Saccharomyces cerevisiae S288C: one gene and its partners. The gene in region 1 interacts genetically with each later gene. Each region holds a gene or a part of one and is shown in the gene's direction. Other genes may lie near its edges. The genes, in order: GAB1, CWH43, RGD1 and ALG8.

The links.
Region 2: mutations in GAB1 (region 1) and CWH43 together harm fitness more than expected from each alone (negative genetic interaction), as found in Saccharomyces cerevisiae (3 studies listed by BioGRID).
Region 3: mutations in GAB1 (region 1) and RGD1 together harm fitness more than expected from each alone (negative genetic interaction), as found in Saccharomyces cerevisiae (3 studies listed by BioGRID).
Region 4: mutations in GAB1 (region 1) and ALG8 together harm fitness more than expected from each alone (negative genetic interaction), as found in Saccharomyces cerevisiae (2 studies listed by BioGRID).

Annotation. Positions count from the first base shown.
Region 1 is NC_001144.5:1,055,538-1,060,640, forward strand, and holds GAB1 (GPI-anchor transamidase subunit GAB1), read left to right. Parts: upstream 1-1,796; coding exon 1,797-2,981; downstream 2,982-5,103. Other genes in the region: YLR456W (pyridoxal 5'-phosphate synthase), read left to right, coding at 1-147; NBP1 (Nbp1p), read right to left, coding at 275-1,234; YLR460C (uncharacterized protein), read right to left, coding at 4,220-5,103. UniProt on the Saccharomyces cerevisiae protein: Component of the GPI transamidase complex. May be involved in the recognition of either the GPI attachment signal or the lipid portion of GPI.
Region 2 is NC_001135.5:143,641-150,180, reverse strand, and holds CWH43 (Cwh43p), read left to right. Parts: upstream 1-2,546; coding exon 2,547-5,408; downstream 5,409-6,540. Other genes in the region: SRD1 (Srd1p), read left to right, coding at 1,278-1,943; RNA-binding ribosome assembly factor RBP95, read right to left, coding at 5,675-6,540.
Region 3 is NC_001134.8:730,608-736,488, reverse strand, and holds RGD1 (GTPase-activating protein RGD1), read left to right. Parts: upstream 1-1,849; coding exon 1,850-3,850; downstream 3,851-5,881. Other genes in the region: glycine hydroxymethyltransferase SHM1, read right to left, coding at 1-225; MIC12 (Mic12p), read left to right, coding at 449-769; TAE1 (N-terminal protein methyltransferase), read left to right, coding at 959-1,657; YBR259W (uncharacterized protein), read right to left, coding at 4,036-5,881.
Region 4 is NC_001147.6:449,607-455,109, reverse strand, and holds ALG8 (dolichyl-P-Glc:Glc1Man(9)GlcNAc(2)-PP-dolichol alpha-1,3-glucosyltransferase), read left to right. Parts: upstream 1-1,647; coding exon 1,648-3,381; downstream 3,382-5,503. Other genes in the region: VAM10 (Vam10p), read left to right, coding at 897-1,241; VPS5 (sorting nexin 1), read right to left, coding at 1-1,342; MSA1 (Msa1p), read right to left, coding at 3,785-5,503. UniProt on the Saccharomyces cerevisiae protein: Dolichyl pyrophosphate Glc1Man9GlcNAc2 alpha-1,3-glucosyltransferase that operates in the biosynthetic pathway of dolichol-linked oligosaccharides, the glycan precursors employed in protein asparagine (N)-glycosylation.

The DNA of each region.
Region 1 (5,103 bases):
CGGTTGTTATTAACAGTCAATCCAGACGCAGATATTTTTATACTAGGAGAAGATACAGCCATAATAAAGGTAAATATACAAAAAATAAAAGTCTCTGACATGGAAAATAATACTTCTACATACGGCCAAACAGTACAACCAGTTTAACGGAAATATGATGAAAACTATGTGTACTCTAATTATTATATAAAGCATCTATAAAATGAATCATGAGGATTAGGCCGTGATCTTCGCGCTCCATATATGGAGAATACTTTTAATTTCACAGGAGAAATTAAGATAAATAACTTGAAAAGTCCACTGAGATTGGTGAAAGTGTTTCATCCTCTTTTTCAGTTTCCCTTGAACGATAGGGTGGAGTGGGACAGGCGGGAGATATGTTTTCCTGTAACGGCTGCATCTCTGGTATATTTCCATCCCGATTATATGTTTTCATGGGGCTGGAAGTGAATAATGAATTCGTTCTTCTTATTGGAGACGGGGAAAGATCAATTTTCAAGGGCTTAATCTCATCGTTTTCTCTAGCTAGATTAGACATGGTTCTCCTAGATTTGGTGTATGATGGATGAATGTTTGAAGAATCTAGTAAATCCTCCAAAATCCTGTACTTCTCATTTGAGTAATTCAATGCTTCTTGTAATGATTGTAGCTTGCTTTCCAAGGCTTTTATTTTCTCATCTCTTTTCTTAATTTGCCGCTGTAGAAGAATTTCTCTATCTAAGTATAATGATTGATTTCTATCTTTTCCACTCGACCCGTCAGAACTACCACTTCTTAGTTCACTGATCCGTTGCTTATTGTATTTCAACTCCGATATCTTTCTCTTAAAGGCATCACTCCTTAGGATCCTAGATTTGGCTGTATCTGTGTCCATATAAGAAGGTCTTCCCTGGGATCTCTTCTTCAAAATTCTAGTCATGTCGCCACAAACATTTTGCATCTTGCTCATATTTTCATTATCATTGGAAAAAACATCTCTGATTGTCTGGAATATCTTTGTTAACCTTCGTTTGGGTGTTTTCCTCCTGTTAGTACGAATTTTTTCTTCAGTTTTCCTATCTGTCACCTTTCTAGGTCTTTTTAGAACGCTTTTACCCGTAGGACGCATCTGCTTTCTTCTGCTCCTTAAGGCAGATCGTTTTCTCACTTCATCAAGGGACCCGTATTCTCGTTTCCTGCCATCATCTCGTATTCCAAAAAAATCTTTCCACAGTCCCTGTACGGATTTTAGCATATTACCAATGTCTATTATTGTACCTTTCTCTTCAGAGTATCTACTTGTTCATGTTCAGCAATAATTTCATAATTGTTGATGCGCGCATCGTTTCTATACTATGACGCGTCACGAATTGTGCTAGAGTGGCCTCTAATGAAAGTATAAGAGGCGTTGGCGAAGGTCAAGGATAGACCATTGGCTGTTTCGGATGAGTTATTTTTAAAGTGTAAAGGTATAACATCAAATGAATGAAAATTAACATTGATCTCAGCTCTCAATTTCTTTCCTCATTTGTTTTCGATGTTTCTATATGAGTATACATTAAACAAGTAAATCTCAAGCTCTTGTCAAAACAGTTATTTCCAACATATCTATCTGCATTATTGGTAGCATAATTCTCAAAGGAAGCTAAAACATCCTTCTTAAAGACGTCTATTGGCAAACGATATGTTACGTATTCCGGGTAAAACAAATATTCCATTAAGTGAAATGACCTTTGTTTTCAAAACTAACCAGTTTTAGAACAGTAATTCATATAAACAACGTGATCTTATATGAAAAACTCACCAAAAGGAGACCAATGGATTCCACAGCACTTAAGGTAGCTCTAGGCTGTATTGCAATTCGTTTGGCTGTGAACAGCCTTTTTCCCTCTCTACAACAACAACTGGACCAGTCTGTAGAATTCTCAACTCCCGTAACTTCATTTAGGTCACTACAGGAAGGTATATACCTACTGCGGAACAACATCCAAGTATATAATCATGGGGTTGTTCACCATCCTCCAATTTTGATTTTTTTTCTTTCCCTCTTTAATTCCGACAGGTTAATTTCCCTCATATACGCTTTAATTGATGGATTAATTGCGTATCAGCTGACAGAGGTAACAAAGGCTTTCAAAAACTTGAAACTGAAAGTTTGGCTACCTGGACTTCTTTATGCCGTGAATCCTTTGACCCTTTTATCGTGCATTAGTCGGTCATCAATCATATTCACAAATTTTGCTATTTCATCGTCATTGTATTGCATATTAGCTGAAGGAAACGTTCTTTTGTCCTCTGTTATGATTTCTATATCTGGATATTTGTCAGTATACCCTATTCTCCTCTTAATTCCGCTATTAGGTATGCTGAAAAGTTGGAGGCAAAGAATATTATCTGCCATTGTTTCCATACTATCTTTATTAATTCTGCTATTATTCAGCTACAGTATATTAGGCAGCCAAAGTTGGTCATTTTTGACACAGGTTTATGGATCTATTATAACCTTTGAGAAGGTTTTTCCAAATCTGGGTTTGTGGTGGTACTTCTTCATTGAAATGTTTGACACCTTCATACCGTTCTTCAAGGCTGTATTCAACATTTTTATTGCAGTATTCATTACACCATTTACTTTGCGCTATCATAAGCAGCCATTCTACGCATTCATTTTATGCATTGGGTGGATTGTCCTTACAAAGCCATATCCCTCACTAGGTGACGCTGGTTTTTTCTTCAGCTTCCTACCTTTCTTCACGCCACTATTTGGATATTTAAGATACCCCATCATATCAGCATTACTGTTTTTACACGCAATTGTTTTGGCGCCAATTTTCTATCATCTTTGGGTTGTTTTAGGTTCAGGGAATAGTAATTTTTTCTATGCTATTTCCCTAGTTTATGCTCTGGCTATAGCATCTATATTAGTTGACTTGAACTGGGCGATGCTGAGAATTGAATACGATAACGGTATCCCAAATTTCAAATTGAAGGTAACACAAATTTAACTACTTCCCGTCTATAAACGTACATAAACTAGAATAAAAAGAACCATACAGATGTTCATCGTAAGAGTGGATAAAGCGAATATGAGAGCCATATTGGTTATTCCAGAGGCTATCTATTTTTTAAGAGAAACTGCTTGGTTAAAATTTGCATAATATTGTCTCGGAGAGAAAAGATAGAACTCAGAAGGACCTAATTAATCATGAGCGTTATAATACGAAGAATTGAGATAGAGTGTATGATCTGCGGATTAAGCTCCTACATAATAACAACATTGTACTTGGGACTATGCCAATTTCTTTCCCACCAAAAGTCGTATGAAAAAGGTTATCTTCGCTAGGGCTTCCATTAGGTGAAAGCCAATATATTATCATAGAATAGCACGGCATAAATATATATTTTGTGCTGTCTTTTTGGGAAGGGTAGTTTGACAACCCATGTACATTAACATAAAAAGAGCTTTATCATTAACGGACGAAGAAAGAATGTGTATCGCGTATTTTTAGACTATCGATAATCTTTTTTAAAGTTATGGTAGATAGAAGATGGAATCAGTTACGAAGTGATGAGTTCCCATACATTCCAGCCTGTTTACATTAGCTAATTTAAAAAAAAAAAACATAATTAGAATATTACGTGATGACTCAGTTTAAACGGTACTCTGTAACACATCATTTCTATTTGTTGTTCTAAAACAGGTTCTACATATTTGGATCTGCTGTGAGAATGACCTAAAAGGTAAAACTCTCTTTGTAATAATCCAAGGAAAGTGGGAGTTCCTTGGGGAAGCTCTATTGCAATATATTGTAGTTTCCATTCAGCCTGCTTATCGCCTTAGGAAAAAGGAATGTAAGAGGCAGAAAAGTGCGGCGCAATCGTTCGGACAGCGAGCCGCCATTATAGGTAAGAATACTTAAAGAGCTTCGCCGGATATTATTACAGTGTATTAAATTTCGCCAAGTCTTTGCCAATGGAAATGGGTGCATAAATTTATGTGCTTGGTACATATGAGTTCAATAGATATGTAGTAGTTGGATAGTAGATAGTTAGGATATATAATCATGGAAGGGTTACTCACAACGAATCACATAATGAGTTATGATTTTCACTGTGCTCATCTGTTGCCCCTACAAGGGGTGATCAATAACAAACAATTTCATTAAAAAAAAAAAAAAAACTAAGTCACTATAACTAAACGTAATAACTATGTATATGAAAGAAAATAATATCTGTTCGTCATCTAGTTTAATACGGCAACGAGTTTTTCACCAGAGTTCTTACCATATTTGATGTCTTTTAGGATATGAGGAACATCACAAAGCCCGTTCTTATAGACCCTTACTGGAATATGGCGAATTTGTCCATCATTAATCTTTGGATTGATGAATTTGATAAATTTTATTGCAGCTTTCCTAGCTTCTGAGTCGGCTGGTAAAGTAATGTTTCCAAATGGTACTTCATGGCCACCTATTGAATATAGCCTTATTATGTCAATAGTAACGTTTTGTCTCCTGTTCTCTTTTTTGACGTTTTCTTCTGTCAAATTTTTTAATTCAACAATTGTAGCATCCTGTTTATCGGCCGCACATTTGTACACTTGTTGAAGCGTATCTTGATTCGCGACACAGTCGACTAAATACGAGATATTGTTGTACTTGTGTTTAATTTGTTCTACCACGTCAATATCATGATAATCAAATAATTCATCAGCACCATATTCTTTCAAAAGTTTTTCGTGCTTCCGAGAAGCCACAACAATGATCTTGGTGAAGCCATTCAATTTATTGGCTAATTGGATGAGCGACTGACCTACTGCAGTTGCACCGCCCCATAATAAGATGGGGCCTTTTCTTTGTGGGGTTGATGGCTCCCACTTCAGGTCCAAGCCCAAGTTATAGGTCAACACCAAGCCGGCTGTGGTCAGTGACACTGGGATAGTGGCTACACCTTCCAAAGACCTGACAGGGCCGGCAGGTAGAACATCCTCACCCAAAAATTTGAGTTCATTGGGTGATTTGTAGGCAACCACAGTTGAAATAGCAGAATATTCAGCAAAAGCACCATTGGAAGGAAACCTTACGGAAGATCCGTGAATGAACCCATAAATATAATCACCGATAGAAA
Region 2 (6,540 bases), on another chromosome or scaffold:
GAAATTTGCGGTGTAGAACCGACTTTTCTAAATGCATATCTTTATTTTCTCAGAACCTTAATTAGTAAAACTCTAGTGAACAACAAATACTCAAATACTTAAAAGATGATTAAAAATGTGGGCAAAAAAGCTACCGGTAATTGACGACGTCAGTTCCATTATTATTAATGGACAGTTCAAAAAATTTAATAGCGCCGCTCGGTTTCGATCCGAGGACATCAGGGTTATGAGCCCTGCGCGCTTCCACTGCGCCACGGCGCTCAACATTACAATCTCTGATGCTTTCACGTAGATATATGAATAGTTTTATTCTACTATTTTATCCTACTATGATATATATCTAGGGCTTGATGTCTTCACAACAATAAAATTGAATATTGGGTGATATTTTGATAATTTTTGGCATTCCATTGTTGATAAAGGCAGTAATATTATGTATACAGAATATACTAGAAGTTCTTCTCAAGGATATAGGAATTCTCAAAATGGAATCGGTATTTCTACATAATAATATTTTATTATTCTTTTTCATTTTATACGTTTCATTATCCTATTACATTATCAATATTTGCATTTCAGCTTCCATAACAGTTGATGACTGTTTCTCAATCTTTACGTCATCTTTTTACACCGCATGTGATAATATACTAGTAACACGAATACTACTAAAAGATGACATTTTAGAGCTTCAATCCAACAACTTCTCAGTGATGTGGCTTTCGACATTTCATATTTTTTTGTTCGAGTCCTTTTCAATAAGTGATAGTTGATGCTTATTCCAAATATTCAATATAAGCATTTATATCCTTACTACCATATCAACATGTAAATATTGATAGCCACTTATTCCAACAGAATCGGATAAGCGCTATTTTTTTTTATTAAAGCCTTCCCCTCTCTCATCGCCAAGAATTCTATTGTTTCTCCTAGACCCTGCTTTCGCGGCGCGGTATTCCTGTGCCAGCGGTAAGGGTTCAGTCATTGTATTATGTAGAAGTATCGAATGTGACACAAACATACGCCACTAATATGAGAATGCAGGCGCGATAGCTTTGTAATGTTTTTCAGTTGTATCACAGTAAACTAGAGCGGATCCCTAAATAAGTATCATCAAGCTCGATACACAAAACTTTGAAATGAACTTCTTCGACTTTTAGACGCTTGTTCAAACTTTTATCAATGATGTTGTCAATTAAATAGACTTATATTGCTGTTTCATTGTTATCGCTTTGTTAAGAGGTTGCTAGGTAAATAACCAGACATTTACTATTGCTAGTATGCGATATAATAATTATGACAACTCTGGAAGTTCCTTCTTAACTAGAGTAGTTAAAAAGTCAGATATGGAGAAAACGTTATTATTAAATAGAGAAATTGATGACTGGAAGTCAAACGATAAAAAGAAGGCATATAAGGAACGCGGAAGAGTTTATGCAAGTTGCTCATTTATTGAAGTATCCTTTTCTCAAATAAGGGCTGTTGATGTTGAAAAAAAAATTGAGAATGCCGAACAACTAAGAGATCTTACAAGAAATATTGTTAAGAACAAAACCAGCTCTTTGAACGAAATTACACCCTCAAAGAATCGTGTAACTAGTGCATGCAATTCCGAGAGACGTACGACTAGCCAAGAAGCAAACAATCTTGAAGGCTACCATAGTTGTGCACAAGGAACTAGTCGGTCTGCCAGTATTACGAAGAAATACAGCAAAAAGACTACTAGTCGTCCTAAAAGAGAAAAGAGACAAACAATCCTCCCAAATGGTGAGATAAAGGAATGCTCTAAATGTAAAGACACTTGGACAATTCAATGGCGTAGTGGACCCGACCAAAACAGGGAACTTTGTAGTCCCTGTGGACTCGCCTATGGAAAAAGACTGAAGAAGGAGAATGAAAAAAAAAGGCAAGCAGCAGATAAAAGGATAGATCGAAACAATCCATAGTATCTATTTAATTCTTTCACCGCATAGATGATATTTTTCCACTAGGATATTCCACCTTTTTTTTTTCTAATATTGGCACTTCAGTTATAATGTATTTTCTTCGTCTTTGTTCTTATATTGTACTATTATTCATAATATTTATTACGTTTTATATGGAGTTTCTTTTTGATTAATGGCTTCCTGCTAGTATTACTATATGACTATAGCAACAAACTTTGCAGTTAGTTTTGTTGAGATTGTATGCTCAATAAGTTTAAGTGAACTTCTACAAGTTGTACCTCATTTCTCGGTTTTGAAATTAAGTATTCTTGGTTCAGGTTTGCAGTTCTTTTTAATGTTGTTTTTTACAATCAAAGTATGCTCATCGGTATATACAGAAGTGCCAGTTTGGGATTTTTGAGTCCCTGAATATGCGCTTCATGCTTTTTTATTATGTAAAGTTAGTTCGGGTAAGAAGTAGTAACCAAAAAAATCGCAACAATAGATTCTCATTCGCTTTTTGACTTGGTAACTTATAATTTCTCCACAGTATTTGCACCCTTTTAATGTCCGATTTCTCGAGGAATAAGTAACCAGGAATACAGAAGGTATCCACCGCCAGTTATGCTGATCATCAATGGGAAGATCATCCCTATAGCTCATACTATTTGTGCATTCTCCGCCTTCTTTGCAGCTTTGGTCACTGGTTATTCATTACATTTTCATAAAATTGTAACCAATGCACATTATACGTATCCAGATGAGTGGTTTCCTAGTGTATCAGCCACTATCGGGGACCGCTATCCGGAACGTTCTATTTTCCAAATCTTAATAGCTCTAACTGCTTTTCCAAGATTTTTACTGCTACTAGGTCACTACTACTTGAACCAATCTAAGGTATGCTTCCTTGTCGGTGTACTCCGGACAGTCTCTTGCGGTGGTTGGGTATACATTACAAGTACAGATGACCACGATATTCATGATATATTTATGATCACATACATTGTTTTAACGTTACCATGGGATATAATGATTACCCGCTATTCTAGTCCTTTAACTTCGAAGAACAAAGGGTTGACTGCTACAATTTTTTTTGGAACATTGTTCCCGATGATTTACTGGTACATTCAGCACTCCGTCCAACAGAGAGCTGGGGCATATTCTATATATGCTTATTTCGAATGGTCTCTGATTCTTTTAGATATTGCATTTGATGCATTTGCTTACGCTGATTTCAAAAAGATAGATATTGTTCTCGCTTTTAATGAGAAACCCGGTAATACCAGTTTTTTCCAAATTAGAGACTCTAGTCCCATAAATTATGGAGAAGAAAAAAGTTCAGAATTGCAGAAAAGTGGTGAAAAGAAGGTTGAAAAGGAAAAACCCGTTGCTAGAAGCGCAACTGGTTCATATTTCAGGTTTGACTCTTTTTTTTACTTACTAACAAATATTTTTAACGGTTTTCTTTTCTGGTCGAACGTTACGTCCCTGTTATGTAGTATTTGGCATTTCCCGCTATGGTATATGGGAATCTCAGGTTATGAAGCTGCAATATTGGGTTATTTGGGACCCATTTTCTTATATCTGCCGTTCGTTTCTGAAGCCTTCACGCAATATGGTGTACTTTTAGGAGGTATTATTGCCATTGGTGCCTATATTGTTCAGATGCCAGAATTAAGGTTGATTTCTGTAGCTGTGGGAACTTCCATTACCGTTGCAACGTTTGTACAAAATCTAAGATATATCACAAATGCGGAGACTAGTTTCTCTTTTGCTCTAACTTGGCTGTTAGGTCTTGTTGCATCTGTGATCTTGAAAATGGGGTTCTATACCAACAATCCAACTTGGGTCATTTTAGATGAACGTAATGGTGGGTATAATAAGACAGCTCTCGTGCTTACTGTTTTATTCGGCATGCTGTCGCCTTATGTTAATTCAATTAATTTCGAAGGGAAAAGGAATGCTCAAGCAAAATCTGCTTCGTTGATTGGCAAATTATTTTTGGCTGTTGGTTTTGGCTCGTTGTTATTCGGAATTCATCAGTTATTGACGGATTCTTCTACTACTATTTATTGGGCATGGGAAGGTTACAATGAATCACACGGTCCCTTGCCATGGCCTTGGGGCGCCTTAACTTGTACGGTCATGTTATTTGCTTCTTTGAGTTCTGTGAAGTTTATGGGCAAGCCATTAGTTCCATGTTTGTTGCTTCTCATATCCACTGCTGTACTTTCAGCTAGAAGCATTACACAATGGCCTAAATATATTTTCGGTGGTTTATTGTACGCTATCGCTATGCTTTGGTTAGTTCCTTCGTATTTTTCTGCATTAGGCCAAGTTCAAAACATATGGGTTTATGTCCTATCATTCTCCGTTTATATTATCTTTGTCCTTGCCCATGTTTGGGTCGTTGCATACGCATTTGTTCCAATGGGCTGGGTACTGAGGGAGAAGATTGAGACGGTTCTTGCCTTTTCTTCCACATTTATCATTATTGGTGCTTTAACATGCAAAAACCTTAACATTCAACTGGTGACTATGGGCAAAAAATTCTTCATTTATGTTTTCTTCTTTGCCGTGGCCCTGCTATCACTAACAGCTAGGTTCGTGTATGATATTAGACCTACAGGAATTCCTCAGCCTTATCATCCAGATTCTCAGTTGATTACAGCTGGTATTTGGACTATCCACTTTGGTCTCGATAATGATATGTGGGCATCTGAAGACAGAATGATCAACCTTATTAAAGATATGGAACTAGATGTGGTAGGTCTACTAGAAACAGATACACAAAGAATTACCATGGGGAACAGGGATCTAACTAGCAAACTAGCTCATGATTTGAATATGTATGCAGATTTCGGACCAGGTCCAAATAAACATACCTGGGGCTGTGTTCTTCTTTCTAAATTCCCTATCGTAAATTCTACGCATCATTTATTGCCCTCTCCAGTTGGGGAACTTGCGCCAGCCATTCATGCCACACTTCAAACGTACAATGACACTCTCGTTGACGTCTTTGTATTCCATAGTGGACAAGAAGAGGATGAAGAGGATAGAAGACTGCAAAGTAACTACATGGCTAAGCTCATGGGCAATACGACTCGCCCAGCTATTTTATTAAGTTACTTAGTTGTTGATCCAGGTGAAGGCAACTACAATACGTACGTTAGTGAAACATCCGGAATGCACGACATTGATCCTTCTGACGATGATAGATGGTGTGAGTATATCTTGTATAGGGGCTTGAGAAGAACAGGATATGCTAGAGTTGCAAGAGGAACGATAACCGATACGGAGCTACAAGTTGGTAAGTTCCAAGTTTTGAGTGAGCAAGCGTTAGTAGAGCACTCGGATTCTATGTATGAATACGGTCATATGAGTGAACCGGAATATGAGGACATGAAATTTCCAGATAAGTTTTTAGGCGAAGGTGAGAGGGGTCACTTCTACCATGTTTTTGATGAGCCACGTTATTACTTATAAGAGGCCGTAAGGTGGTTTTATAAATCAGTGTAATCACATTGTGTGTACTGAAAATCTTGATAACTTAAGGTAAGTTATGTATCCACCTGATTTTTTTGACCTCGAATTTTAAAAATTTATGTGATTTCTTTATGTATGTTACTTAGACGATCTTGTTATAGTTTTGTAAGAAATTATACTTCCTGAAACGATTTATCCCGCTACTTTTTGAGCGTATTTCACAGTAAAATATATACTACAACTGAACAACGTTGTTGAACTCTATGTTAAACATCAACGAAGAAATTCTTAAGTTCTATCTGCTCCGAGTCATCATTCTTCCAAATTTCTAGTAATTTCAGACTTCTTTGAACAAGCTCTTTATTCGGCATTTGTACTTCCTCTTGCTCGTCTTGTACCTCTTTTTGCTTCCCTTGTTCGGCATTACCGTCTTTTTCACCTTCTTCTTTTTCTTCACCATTAATTGGTTCGCTAGCCTTATCCTCTGCAATTAACGCTTTTATTTTTGTTTCTTGATCTTCCACATAGTCGTTCCATTGCTTCAGTTTTCCTTTGCATTTTGATATTAGTTCTTCTTTTGATTTACCTTGTAAGTCCCTGAAATATAAAAGCAAAAGATCATTATATACTGAGGGGATTTCGTCCAAGTTGAAAAAATGCTTAATAAGCCAATTTTGCTTTTGCTTGGAAAATTTCCAAACTTCAACAACACCAGACTCTGATGGCTCGTCTTTGATCAGGGAGTCGCCGTAATTTTCTTTTACACTTTCCAATTCTAGGATTCCGGTGGGAAACTTGCTCTCAGACTTTGTCCTGAAAAATTCTATCAGGTAACGTAATTGATCTTTAAGAATTTTATTTTTTTTCGAATTCTTTTCATCCTTTGACAATTTTTCCTTCTTCTTCGTCCCTGGTTTCGACACACGCTTCCCTTTTTTGGTAGAGGATTTGCTCTCACCATTAATGATTCTTTTTTTCTCTTTCTTTGTCAAATTACCAGTGGATAAATGCGTAGTGATATTTAGTGGATCATCATCTATTAGATTGGATTGGCCTTTTTCTTTACTTTCGTCACCACTGCTTATAGTCTGTCTCTTCAAAGCAATTCTTTTCCAGGCAGGAACGTGATTTT
Region 3 (5,881 bases), on another chromosome or scaffold:
CTCAGAACCTAGCAAATCCATAACGGCCTTCGAGGTGAAGTTTTCTGATGGGATAAGGGTGATAGAGTGTTTTTGTCTGTGACGTTCTTGTTGCAAGATGTCAAACATCTCTGGATCTCCCTCCGAGACTGGTTTGGAGACTAGCGATTGTGCACCACTGGTGAGTAGCCCACGACGATGAACAGTTGCCATACATTTGGCCAATGCAGAAGCTCTGGGAAACATGATTGAAAGACTATGAGACTCGATGTGGAAATGTCGGCTTGATGATTTTTGATAGTTTGCTCTTCTCCAAGAGGCGATGGCTTTTAGTATTTTTTTTCTCATTGACCACCAATAAGCGAAGTACCTAAAAAAAAATAATGAGTCTTTTTTATATTCTATCTCTTGGACAGAAGGGGGACAGAACAGACAGTGGACTAAGAACCAGCAGATAACGGAGAGAATCATGTCGAAATTGGGTCCGTTAGCAAGATCTGTGAAGTGGACTCTCTCTGTGGGAGTAATCGGTTCTGTTTTTTACCTGTACCGATACAGTAACAATGGCTACTTCTACGATCACGATGCTACATGGTTGAAACAAGATCATCAGGTACAGGACCTGGTGGATAGAAAAGAAGTGGTACCTGGGGAGACCAGGAACCGCAAGCTAGTTGTGACGGATGATGGCACTGCATGGAGCAGGACCATGGGGGAGAGCATAAAAGATATTTGGAATGAACAGATAAGAAACTCTGTCGATTGGATCTACTCCTGGGGTAAGAATTAGCGAGCTTTCTATTTCTCCTACTGTAACGAACATCCTCATGTATATAACCTATTGTAACGACTCTGTGTAGAACTTTATATTCAGAAAAAATATCAAAAGAAAAATTTAATTATTAATCAGTACTTTTCACTCTGGTAATGTGCATCGGTGTCAAGAGCATCTCCAAGAAAGAATACATAAACAACAACGATGGACGTGCCTGCAGATTCCCATATCAAATACGAAGATGCCATCGACTATTGGACGGATGTGGACGCCACTGTGGATGGTGTTCTAGGTGGATACGGAGAAGGTACAGTAGTACCCACAATGGATGTCCTGGGATCCAATAACTTCCTGCGTAAACTGAAGTCGAGGATGCTGCCTCAGGAGAACAACGTGAAGTACGCTGTAGACATTGGTGCGGGGATTGGACGTGTAAGCAAGACCATGCTTCACAAGCACGCCGCTAAGATAGACCTTGTAGAACCGGTAAAGCCTTTTATCGAGCAAATGCACGTTGAATTGGCTGAGCTGAAAGACAAAGGCCAAATTGGACAAATATATGAAGTAGGGATGCAGGACTGGACCCCCGATGCCGGCAAGTACTGGCTGATCTGGTGCCAATGGTGCGTGGGACACCTGCCAGATGCAGAACTCGTCGCATTCCTGAAAAGATGTATTGTTGGTTTGCAACCTAATGGGACAATCGTGGTCAAAGAAAATAACACACCTACAGATACCGATGATTTCGACGAAACGGATTCTTCGGTCACAAGGTCAGATGCTAAGTTCAGGCAAATCTTCGAAGAAGCTGGCCTAAAGCTCATCGCCAGTGAAAGACAACGTGGCTTACCAAGAGAATTGTACCCAGTGAGGATGTACGCACTCAAGCCCATGCCAAACTAGGATCAAGGATGCATAGATTTATATAGATACGCCCCTTTTCTTGTGCTGGCATTCACCATTTGTGCCATTATATAGACTTTTTTTTCGATATATATGGAAAAAGAACCCAGAAAATAAAGAATGTGAACAAAATAGTATGTAAAGTAAAAACATACAATCTCGGAAGATTAAAAGAGAAGTGATATAGACAAGATGGAAGAGACTGCGAAGAAACCAGCTAGTGCCACAGTAAGTGCGAAGTCGTCGCACGATGGTGGCACCGACGATTTGGCGCACCTTTTTAGCACGCCAGAGATCAAGAAGGTGCTAAATTCCGATGTGGCAATTAACGCTTTGTTGAGCCGTTTAAAGCAGTCGTTGTTGACTTGTGAAGAGTTTATGAAATTTATTAGAAAGAAATACGCCTTCGAAGAAGAGCACGTTCAGGAGCTCTCCAAGCAATATAAGCACTTTTTCAACATTCAGGGTTCCACAAATTCATCCTTAAAAAAGATGATTCACGAAGTTTTGGGATTCGATGGCAAGATGGCTCAAGTAAAGCAGAGTTATATCACCGCCTTGCAGAAAATGTACTCCGAGATTAGTAGTCTTTTATTAACAATGACAAAATTAAGAAAGTCTGTCAAGGAGAACAGCAAAAGGCTGGAAAAGGATGTTTCTGATGCCATACACAGCGCAGAAAAGGCGCAATCTCGTTACAATTCGTTGTGCCAAGATTGGGACAAATTGAGGATGACTGACCCAACAAAAACAAAGCTGACCTTGAGAGGTTCCAAAACTACGAAGGAACAAGAAGAAGAATTGTTAAGAAAAATCGATAACGCCGATCTGGAATATAAGCAAAAAGTAGATCATTCTAATTCTTTGAGAAACACATTCATAACGAAGGAGAGACCTAGAATTGTTCAAGAATTAAAAGATTTGATTTTAGAAATAGACACAGCGATGACTATCCAATTGCAGAAGTACACGATATGGACGGAAAATTTGGTTCTGAATACAGGTGTTACAATAAGCCCATTGGACTCCACCAAATCTATGAAATCATTTGCTGGATCTGTTTCCAATGAACGTGATCTTTACAGTTTTTTGAACAAGTATAACCAAACAGGAAAACATTCCCTACTGATCAACAAAAACTTGATCCCTGTATCATACAAAAAGCATCCATCAATGAATCATGGTCAGAAAAATAAGAGCCCCCCAAAGTTTGCCGTGGACCCTTCAAGAAACTCCATCCCGAAGAGAATGATATCCACTCATAATGAATCTCCATTTTTGAGCAGTAGTAGTAACACTGCCGCTGTTCCGAATGCTAATCTTAACAGTGCTACACCGTCCTTAAATACCAACAAGCAGTTACCACCTACTATGGCTTCATCTATTTCTTCCACTAGCAATGCGGCTGGCGCTATGTCACCGTCTTCTTCCATTGTAACAAGCGACACCACATCATCCATAACAAAGACCCTGGATCCTGGCAACAATAGTCCACAAATTCCAGAAGAATTGATTAACTCTTTAGACTCGGATCGCCCGATTTCTCACATTCAGACTAACAACAATATGCCACCCGGTGTTCAAAAAAATTTCAAAACATTTGGTGTACCGCTAGAATCACTGATAGAATTCGAACAAGACATGGTCCCTGCGATAGTGCGCCAATGCATATACGTTATTGATAAATTTGGGCTTGATCAAGAAGGAATTTATAGAAAATCGGCAAATGTACTTGATGTCAGCAAGTTGAAGGAGGAAATTGATAAGGATCCCGCAAACATTTCCATGATTCTACCATCAAAGCCACATTCTGATTCGGATATTTATTTAGTAGGATCACTGCTGAAAACTTTTTTTGCGTCGCTGCCTGATAGTGTTTTACCAAAGGCCCTATCATCGGAGATCAAGGTTTGTTTACAAATTGAAGACCCAACAACAAGAAAAAATTTTATGCACGGACTAATATATAACCTCCCCGACGCACAATACTGGACGTTAAGGGCTCTTGTCTTTCATTTGAAAAGAGTGTTGGCACATGAAGCCCAAAACAGAATGAATTTAAGGGCTCTTTGTATAATTTGGGGTCCAACTATTGCGCCTGCAAATCCAGATGACGCTAATGATGTAAATTTTCAAATTATGGCAATGGAAGTATTATTAGAGGTTTCAGATCAAGCTTTTGAGCCTGAATAAACATAGCACTTATGATATTTTCATTCCGTCTTTAATTTCCACTTGTATGTACATTGACGCTGTTATCAGATTTAAGTAAAAACAAAGGAAAATTATATATTGAGAAAAAAAAAAATTCTGTTGTACTATTCCATAATAATTTACTACAAAACTTGCTAAGGTCCAACTCCCTGTCTTCACGGTTGTTAAATTAACCTTATTAATGATGTTTTCTGTCCATCCCTTTTGTACTTAAAATTAAATGCGTAAAACTTTTGTCCTTTTTCGTTCTCTTTCAACAACAATAGTTTCAATTTTGTTAGCCTGTTCAAATTGTACAATAAGATTTCATTCCGTTTACTTGTCGGTAAAACAGCTAATTTTTCCTGTATGCTAGTTAATGATAAGGAATCAACTTCATTATATAAGTACAATATGCTCGTAGTACACATGTTGGAAACGAGTTTCAAATGCGTATTTCTTGTAGTATCGATAATAATTGGTAGTTCAATTTCAAAAAGGTGGAATGCAAATGCGTCTTGCAAAATTTGACCCCTCTTTAATTGCTTATTCGCGAAATCTGGCCAACTATTCGCAATTGATTGGTTAGGCCAAAATGGTTCATTGAAATCTTTGTTAACTTCAGATAGTGACTTAAATTCTTTGTAGGACAAAATAATGACACCAGATGAAGTTTTGTCATCACTTGTCACTGTTACATTTTTGAGTGATTCTATGCTAGACTTGATCAAATTATTTATCGCATGTACCAAAGAGGGTTCTAGAATTTGGAGAGATTCTATTACTAGCCGTTCCAAGCAACCTTCCATGAAATATAGTTGAGCAAACTTTGCACCGTAATATAATATCCTTTTAAAAATACTGGGCAGATAATAAATCCGAAAAAACTTTCTCTTCTCAGGTAAGTAATATCGCAGCAGCGATATAATTGCATATATCTTGTGAGAATCAAATATTGCTGATGCGTCAGGTGTAGGTGTTTGCTCATTTGTGTAAATCTTTGGATATACTTTGTCTCGCCACAACGGTTCATCATTATCAATAAAATGTGAGTATTCATCGATAGGCGAAACATGCATTCCAATTTTGTTACCATCGTCTAAGATAGAAGAAGGCATATTATGACTTTTCCTTCTATCCTGAGTTTTCGATGACGTCATCAATGTGCTGTAATTATTTTTAAATTGGGAATTCAAGTACTTTATCACTTGAATATGAAAATCTTTAACGTCATTAATGTGTTCTTTGAAGTTTTTTCTCAGTAAGCGCAAAAAGAATATACCATCTGCCTTCGTATCTACCTGTTCCTTATTGAAATAAGGAAACATATCATTAAAAATAAGGGCACGAATTAAGCTTTCAACTTTATCATTACTATCCCACTTTAAAGATCGTATATGCGCAAAGTCTTGAACTAATGCTTCTTCCCCATAAGGCCGGAATGCGCTGAACATATTTTGAAGGTCATTTAATCTAAGAACGGCAGAAGAAATCGAAGAGAACACAAGATTTTTGGATGTCCAGATTAATTCAGCACCGTCGATCCTAACTTGCTCTCCAGTGAATGCATCGATACAGTTGGCGACATAAACAATCTTTTCCCAAGGTATAATGAGTTCTTTCAGAGGATCGCTAGATTTTTGAAGATCAAAATTCTCGTAAAATTTCACCAAACATTCTTTGAGTTTCATTCGAAATTCGTACATGAACTGGAGTTGCCTTTTATCATCAGAATCCCATTTCCAAGACGAATACTCAGCCATTAGTTTGTAAAAGATTTGAAAGTTAGATCCATTATCTGGCCATCGCTCTTTTTTAATGAACTCATCTAAAGATGCCACCCAGAATCTTGAGAGTGTAAGCCCGGTAGTTTGGACTTCGGTTTCTAAGTAGTCGATTGCTGCAAACTTTAACTCGTAGTATTTCTTCATGCCGCAATATTTGTTTATTTGTCCACTCAAAGCTTGGAAGTGAGATTGATATATGTAATTTAAATGGAGGAATTGCTGAACATCTGTTTCTGAGGAAAAC
Region 4 (5,503 bases), on another chromosome or scaffold:
TAAATCCCTTGTGCGATTCCGCGTCGATACCCCCATTTTTTAAGACCTCGGCAGCATCCTCTGCACCTAGTAGTTGTATCTCACTTATCCGGACTTCTGACAGATCGTTGCTATCATTAATAGCGCCAGATCCAGTCAAAAATGCCCTTTTTTTAGACTCTGAACTAAAGTCATCACTTGTCAAAAAGAGTAGAAAATCTTTGTCCTTTTGTAGAACCGGATCTTGACATATTTTTTTTAACATGCTTTCCATTTGAAATCTTCTATTTTCAATGAAATTTTCCTTAAAACTGCCTACTGATTGCTTCTCTGGTGGTGGTGGTATTACTTTACCCCAATGGTTGTTCTGCAATTGACGATATAGCCACCTGAAATCTCTGTAACGCCTGCTTACCTGTGCATATTTTAGCTCAAGTAATGATGATTCACTGATTACAGTATACTCCACATGAATGGATGTTAGCTCTCCTACTTTGACCGGGTCTTTAACTTCAACTTTGAAAGCCACAGCCTTTTCGGTTGGTGGCACCTTTGAGCCAATCTTGGTTTTTCCAAACTTTTCTGAGTTTTCCTCGACCTCAGCAGGACTTGAAATATTAGCACCTGTCTGAGGAAGATTGTATAAAGGCCTGTCCACTTGCTCAAGGATATTTTTTTCAACAGAAGCTGTGAACTTGCCCTCATTGTTTTCTCTCCTTTCATTCCTATCGTCCAATGGCTCTTCAACAAATTCATTCTCTTTTTCAGCTTTCTTTAAGGGATCAGTAAAGGGTGTTTTGATGGTATCATCGGAAGCAGTTGTTCTCTTCGCTTTCAGAGAATGGTTGCGTTTGGAGTTTCTTTGAGCTCTGGCGGAATCAAACAGAATTCGTGGTTTGCCGGATCTTCTTCCAGAGATGCTTTTTGAAGTATTTGGTGAAGTGTTAGCATCGTATATCGTATCGTCAAAAACTAAGGGAGAGTTGGCGTTTCCAGTGAACAATGCGCCACCGGATTCTCTTGTTGCAATAAATTGTGTAGTGCTATTCTTGAGATCAGCAATCGGATCCTGTTCAGGGGCTAAAGAATTAATAAGATCGTCAGCTTTGGAATTGTCATGCTCCTCTAGTTGCGGATTACCAGCCACCGACAAACCAGGGTCTTTCCATTCTGGCGCACTATCCAAGTCTATCTTGTCCGCAAATGAAGCTGTGGTCTCTAAAAGCTCATTGTCTTTTCTTTCTTCATTTGTAGATATTTGACCAATTGATTCAATTGAATTTGAAACGAGGCTCTGAGTTTTATCTCCCTCATGATTTAGTTCGTCCCAAACAGGTGCTTCTAGATTATCCTCGTAGTCCATGGCTTGTTATTGCAGGATGTATGAAAGTTTATAAAATCCCTGCTGCAAATTAAGAGATATATGGTTTCGTTCACTACGTAGTTATAGTAAATAACCTTTGCTTAACCCATTTTTCAAAGCATTTTTAAAATTTACTGTTATCACTTAGTTGTTCTTAGCGGACAACTTCCGAAAAGTGAAATTTCATTTTTCAAAACGACAATAGTGGTATAGAATTATAGAATAACATACGTTAAAAATAGCTGAAGTTCATTACAGTTCTGTAGTGGTCAGCAAGGCATTTGACGTCTATTGGATAGCCTACGATGAAAGGTGATCGTTCGAGGCAAAATATGGCTGTGACAAAGAAGGCAAAGTTAAAAAAAAATGACGAGCCAAAAAAGGTTTTGAAGACTGCCGCGACCGAAAAAGGTGAGGGATCCAAGCGCTACTCCTTATGGAATTTCTGGATAAGCACATTGTTTTTAAAATTACTATTGATTCCTGACTACTTCAGTACAGATTTTGACGTTCATAGAAATTGGCTGGCAATCACCAATAAATTGCCCATCAGCGAATGGTATTATGAGCACACTAGTCAATGGACATTGGATTATCCGCCATTTTTTGCTTATTTTGAATGGTTTTTATCGCAATTTGTTCCTAAATCTGTACGTGATGACGGTTGTTTGGATATAGTGGAGATCGGAAAGTTCGGTTTGCCAACAATCGTTTTCCAACGACTCACTGTCATCTTCAGCGAAATTCTTCTATTTGTCATCCTTCAAATATACATTAATACTACAAAGCTAAGTGAAAGATCTCAAAGTTTTGTGGTTGCTTCTAGCATTGTACTATCACCCGGGTTTTTAATAATAGATCACATTCACTTCCAATATAATGGTTTTCTTTTTGCGATTCTAATAGGCTCCATTGTCGCCGCCAAGAATAAGAGATACATCTTGTGCGCTGTTCTGTATACTACAGCCATATGTTTCAAGCATATATTTTTATATTTGGCGCCATGTTATTTCGTGTTTTTATTGAGAGCATACGTTCTCAATGTCAACAATTTCAAGTTTAAAAGTTACAAAGATTTTTTGTTCCTGATAAGATGGGCAAATCTTTTGAAGTTGGCTACCGTTGTTGTTGGAATTTTCACTATTTGTTTCCTTCCATTTGCTCATCAAATGCCGCAAGTGTTGAGCAGGTTATTCCCATTCTCAAGAGGACTGACGCATGCATATTGGGCACCAAATTTCTGGGCGTTGTATTCTTTTATGGATAAAATACTCACTACGGTAATGTTGAAATTACCGTACGTCCACACTTTTGCTACAAAATTTATTAAACCTCCTCTGATCCCTCAGAATATCAAGGAAATTAATGAAAGGCTCGCGGCAAACAACAATGGAAGTAAAGGTCTAGTTCAAGACGTATTTTTTGTTATTCTCCCTCAAATTCCTCCAAAATTAACGTTTATTTTGACGATATTTTACCAGGTCTTAGCAGTACTTCCACTTTTGTTTGATCCATCGTTCAAAAGATTTGTTGGCTCGTTGACTCTCTGTGGGTTGGCATCGTTTTTGTTCGGGTGGCATGTGCATGAGAAAGCTATAATGCTAGTCATCATTCCGTTCACATTTCTTGTTGGATTTGATCGTCGTCTTTTGGTACCGTTTATGTTAGTTGCCTCAGCTGGTTATGTTTCCTTGTATCCTCTTCTGTACAAAGGCCAAGATTTTTTCATTAAAACATTATACACTTATGTTTGGTGTATAATTTATTTTGCCGCTTTTAGAAAAACTACGAAGATTTCTTCAAGTGTAGAAAGAAGAATCTTTTTCTTGGATAGGTTGGCATTAACGTACATCTTTTCATTGTTACCAATCGTCACCGTATTACAAATATTGGATGAAGTCAAGTGGAGATATTCATTTTTGCAAAAATTTGAATTCTTAGGATTAATGATATATAGTGTCTATTGTTCATTAGGTATAATCAGCTCGTGGTTTGCCTTATCGTGGTTATATAATTTTGACGAATTACTATGGCAGTGATACAATATCGCTTCCCTAGGACGTTAAAAAAAAAGTGATATAAAATTATTTATATATGAATCGATTTTAGAAATATTTATTGTACATTTTCACCTACTAACTAATTGAATAACGATTAGATTTCGATTTATGCAGTCCCTCACGCCAGTTCCTCATTATTTTTCGTTTACGTATTGTGCGTTTTACACTTGAATTAAAATAACATTACATTAAACTGAATGAAGGTCAACTCCATTCACATGCATCAGTTGAAAGGTATATAAGTACTACTTCAATATATTATCTATCAGCTCTGGGAAAATGCTTTAAGAAGGAAAAAAGGTAAGTAAACTATTTTTTAACGCTTCATGATTATTGAATGGTCCTTTTGGCTCATATCGTTTTCATGAATCTATGACTATTTTCACTGATCATCGATTAATCTTTTCAAGGCAGTTCTAGCATCATCCTGTTTGTTGCTGTACGGGTTTTGTTTTAGTGAATCGTCAAAGCTAGAGGGAGCTTTCCCGGTTCCAACAGGGAACCCGTGTAAATTAGGAGTTGCACTGTTCGAAATTGAAGTACCTGGTATGTATTTGGTTCCTAATGAGCCATTCATGGTTTGCTGGATTAATGGAGTGCATTCAATCAAAGTGGGTAATTGAAATTCTTGATTTCTAGGAGTTGAAGGTCCATGGGCAGCGGTAAATAAATTCGCCGGCGGCTGTAAGTTTTCGCTTTTGGTGTTACCTAGCATATTTGCTACCCCTGTTGTGGTTTTTTCTTTGTTGAAGTAAATAGATGACACCCGAGACATAGATTGATGAGGTGGGGAAGCGATATTGATTTGTGGCGGGGAAGAGTTCATGTTTATGTGAGGTGGGGGTATTTGAAATTGACGCTGTTGTTGTTGCCTTTGAGTAGGAGAATTGGATTGCGATTGCACTTGCACTTGCGCCTCCAATTGAGCTTGTAATTGTCTATGGACGTTGCCGCTATCCGATGCGGTGGCTACAGTGGTGCCATTTACCATGACATTAGAGCTTCTTGGTGGGCTGAATAATCCAGGTGAACCAAAGTTTATCCATGAAGGAGGTGTGTTAAAACATTTTTGACGTCTGGGCGTATTAGATACATTGAACAGCATTTCTGGCCAATTCCCATCTGCGTCGTCAGTAAGCAATAACGGGTCACCACTTGAAAACTTAAACACGAATTCCTGCTGTTGTTCGTTAGATGCAGTAGTCGACTTGGGCAACATTTTGTTTCGAGGTGATAAGAAAACTCCCGGGCTATTAGTCAAGGTAAGTAAAGTATTAGCATCCGCGATATTGCTAATGGAATTACCGTTCTGATTGTTATTATTGCTGGCACCCACAGCATTTGTAGATTTGGATATAGTATCACTTAATGATACGGAATTTAGTGCAACATTGGGAGTAAATCCCATCCTGAATTGTAGAGAACTCTTTGGAGTGGATGGGGGCTTAAGTTGCGCGCTTGAAGGGGGTGATTGTGGTGGTTGCGAAAGCAGTATATTATTGTTTCTAGCACTGCCTATTGGAGAAGCTGAAGTTTCTATGATAGTCGGCAATTCTGTGTCGATGATGTCAGATCTGCTTGGTTTCGCTGGAGGTGCTTCGGGGAGCGTATCAGTATCACAATATTTCTCATTCTTCATCTGTTTTAAGAGAGAAAGAATACGTCTCTTCTCAAACTTGGGTGCATTTTTCTTGCTTCCTTTGTGAATTTTTTCATTTTGCATGATCTTTTTATTATTATTGTTCATTAAATGAGACGATTTTGACGATGGAGAGAAAGGCAAAGATCCTGCAATAACGGCCTTCCCACTTTCGGTAATGGTTAAAGAAAGTTTGAATTGTTCCTGTGAAGGAAACATGTAGTCATTTTTCTTTTGGAAAGCTGGAGAAGACGTCATGATAGGCGGCGAACTCTGAAGAAAGGTTTTCCTTGTTTCAGAAAACACCGTGTTATTATAGCTGTCATTCGAAGACGGGGTAGAGATCGGCGTAGAGCCATTAGTGCTCGATTTCTTGGTGGGAGTAGAAAGAAGAACGCCCCTGTATCTGCCCTTTCTCGTAGTTGCCGCCAAATTATGATGATGATCGATGCTGAGTCTTCT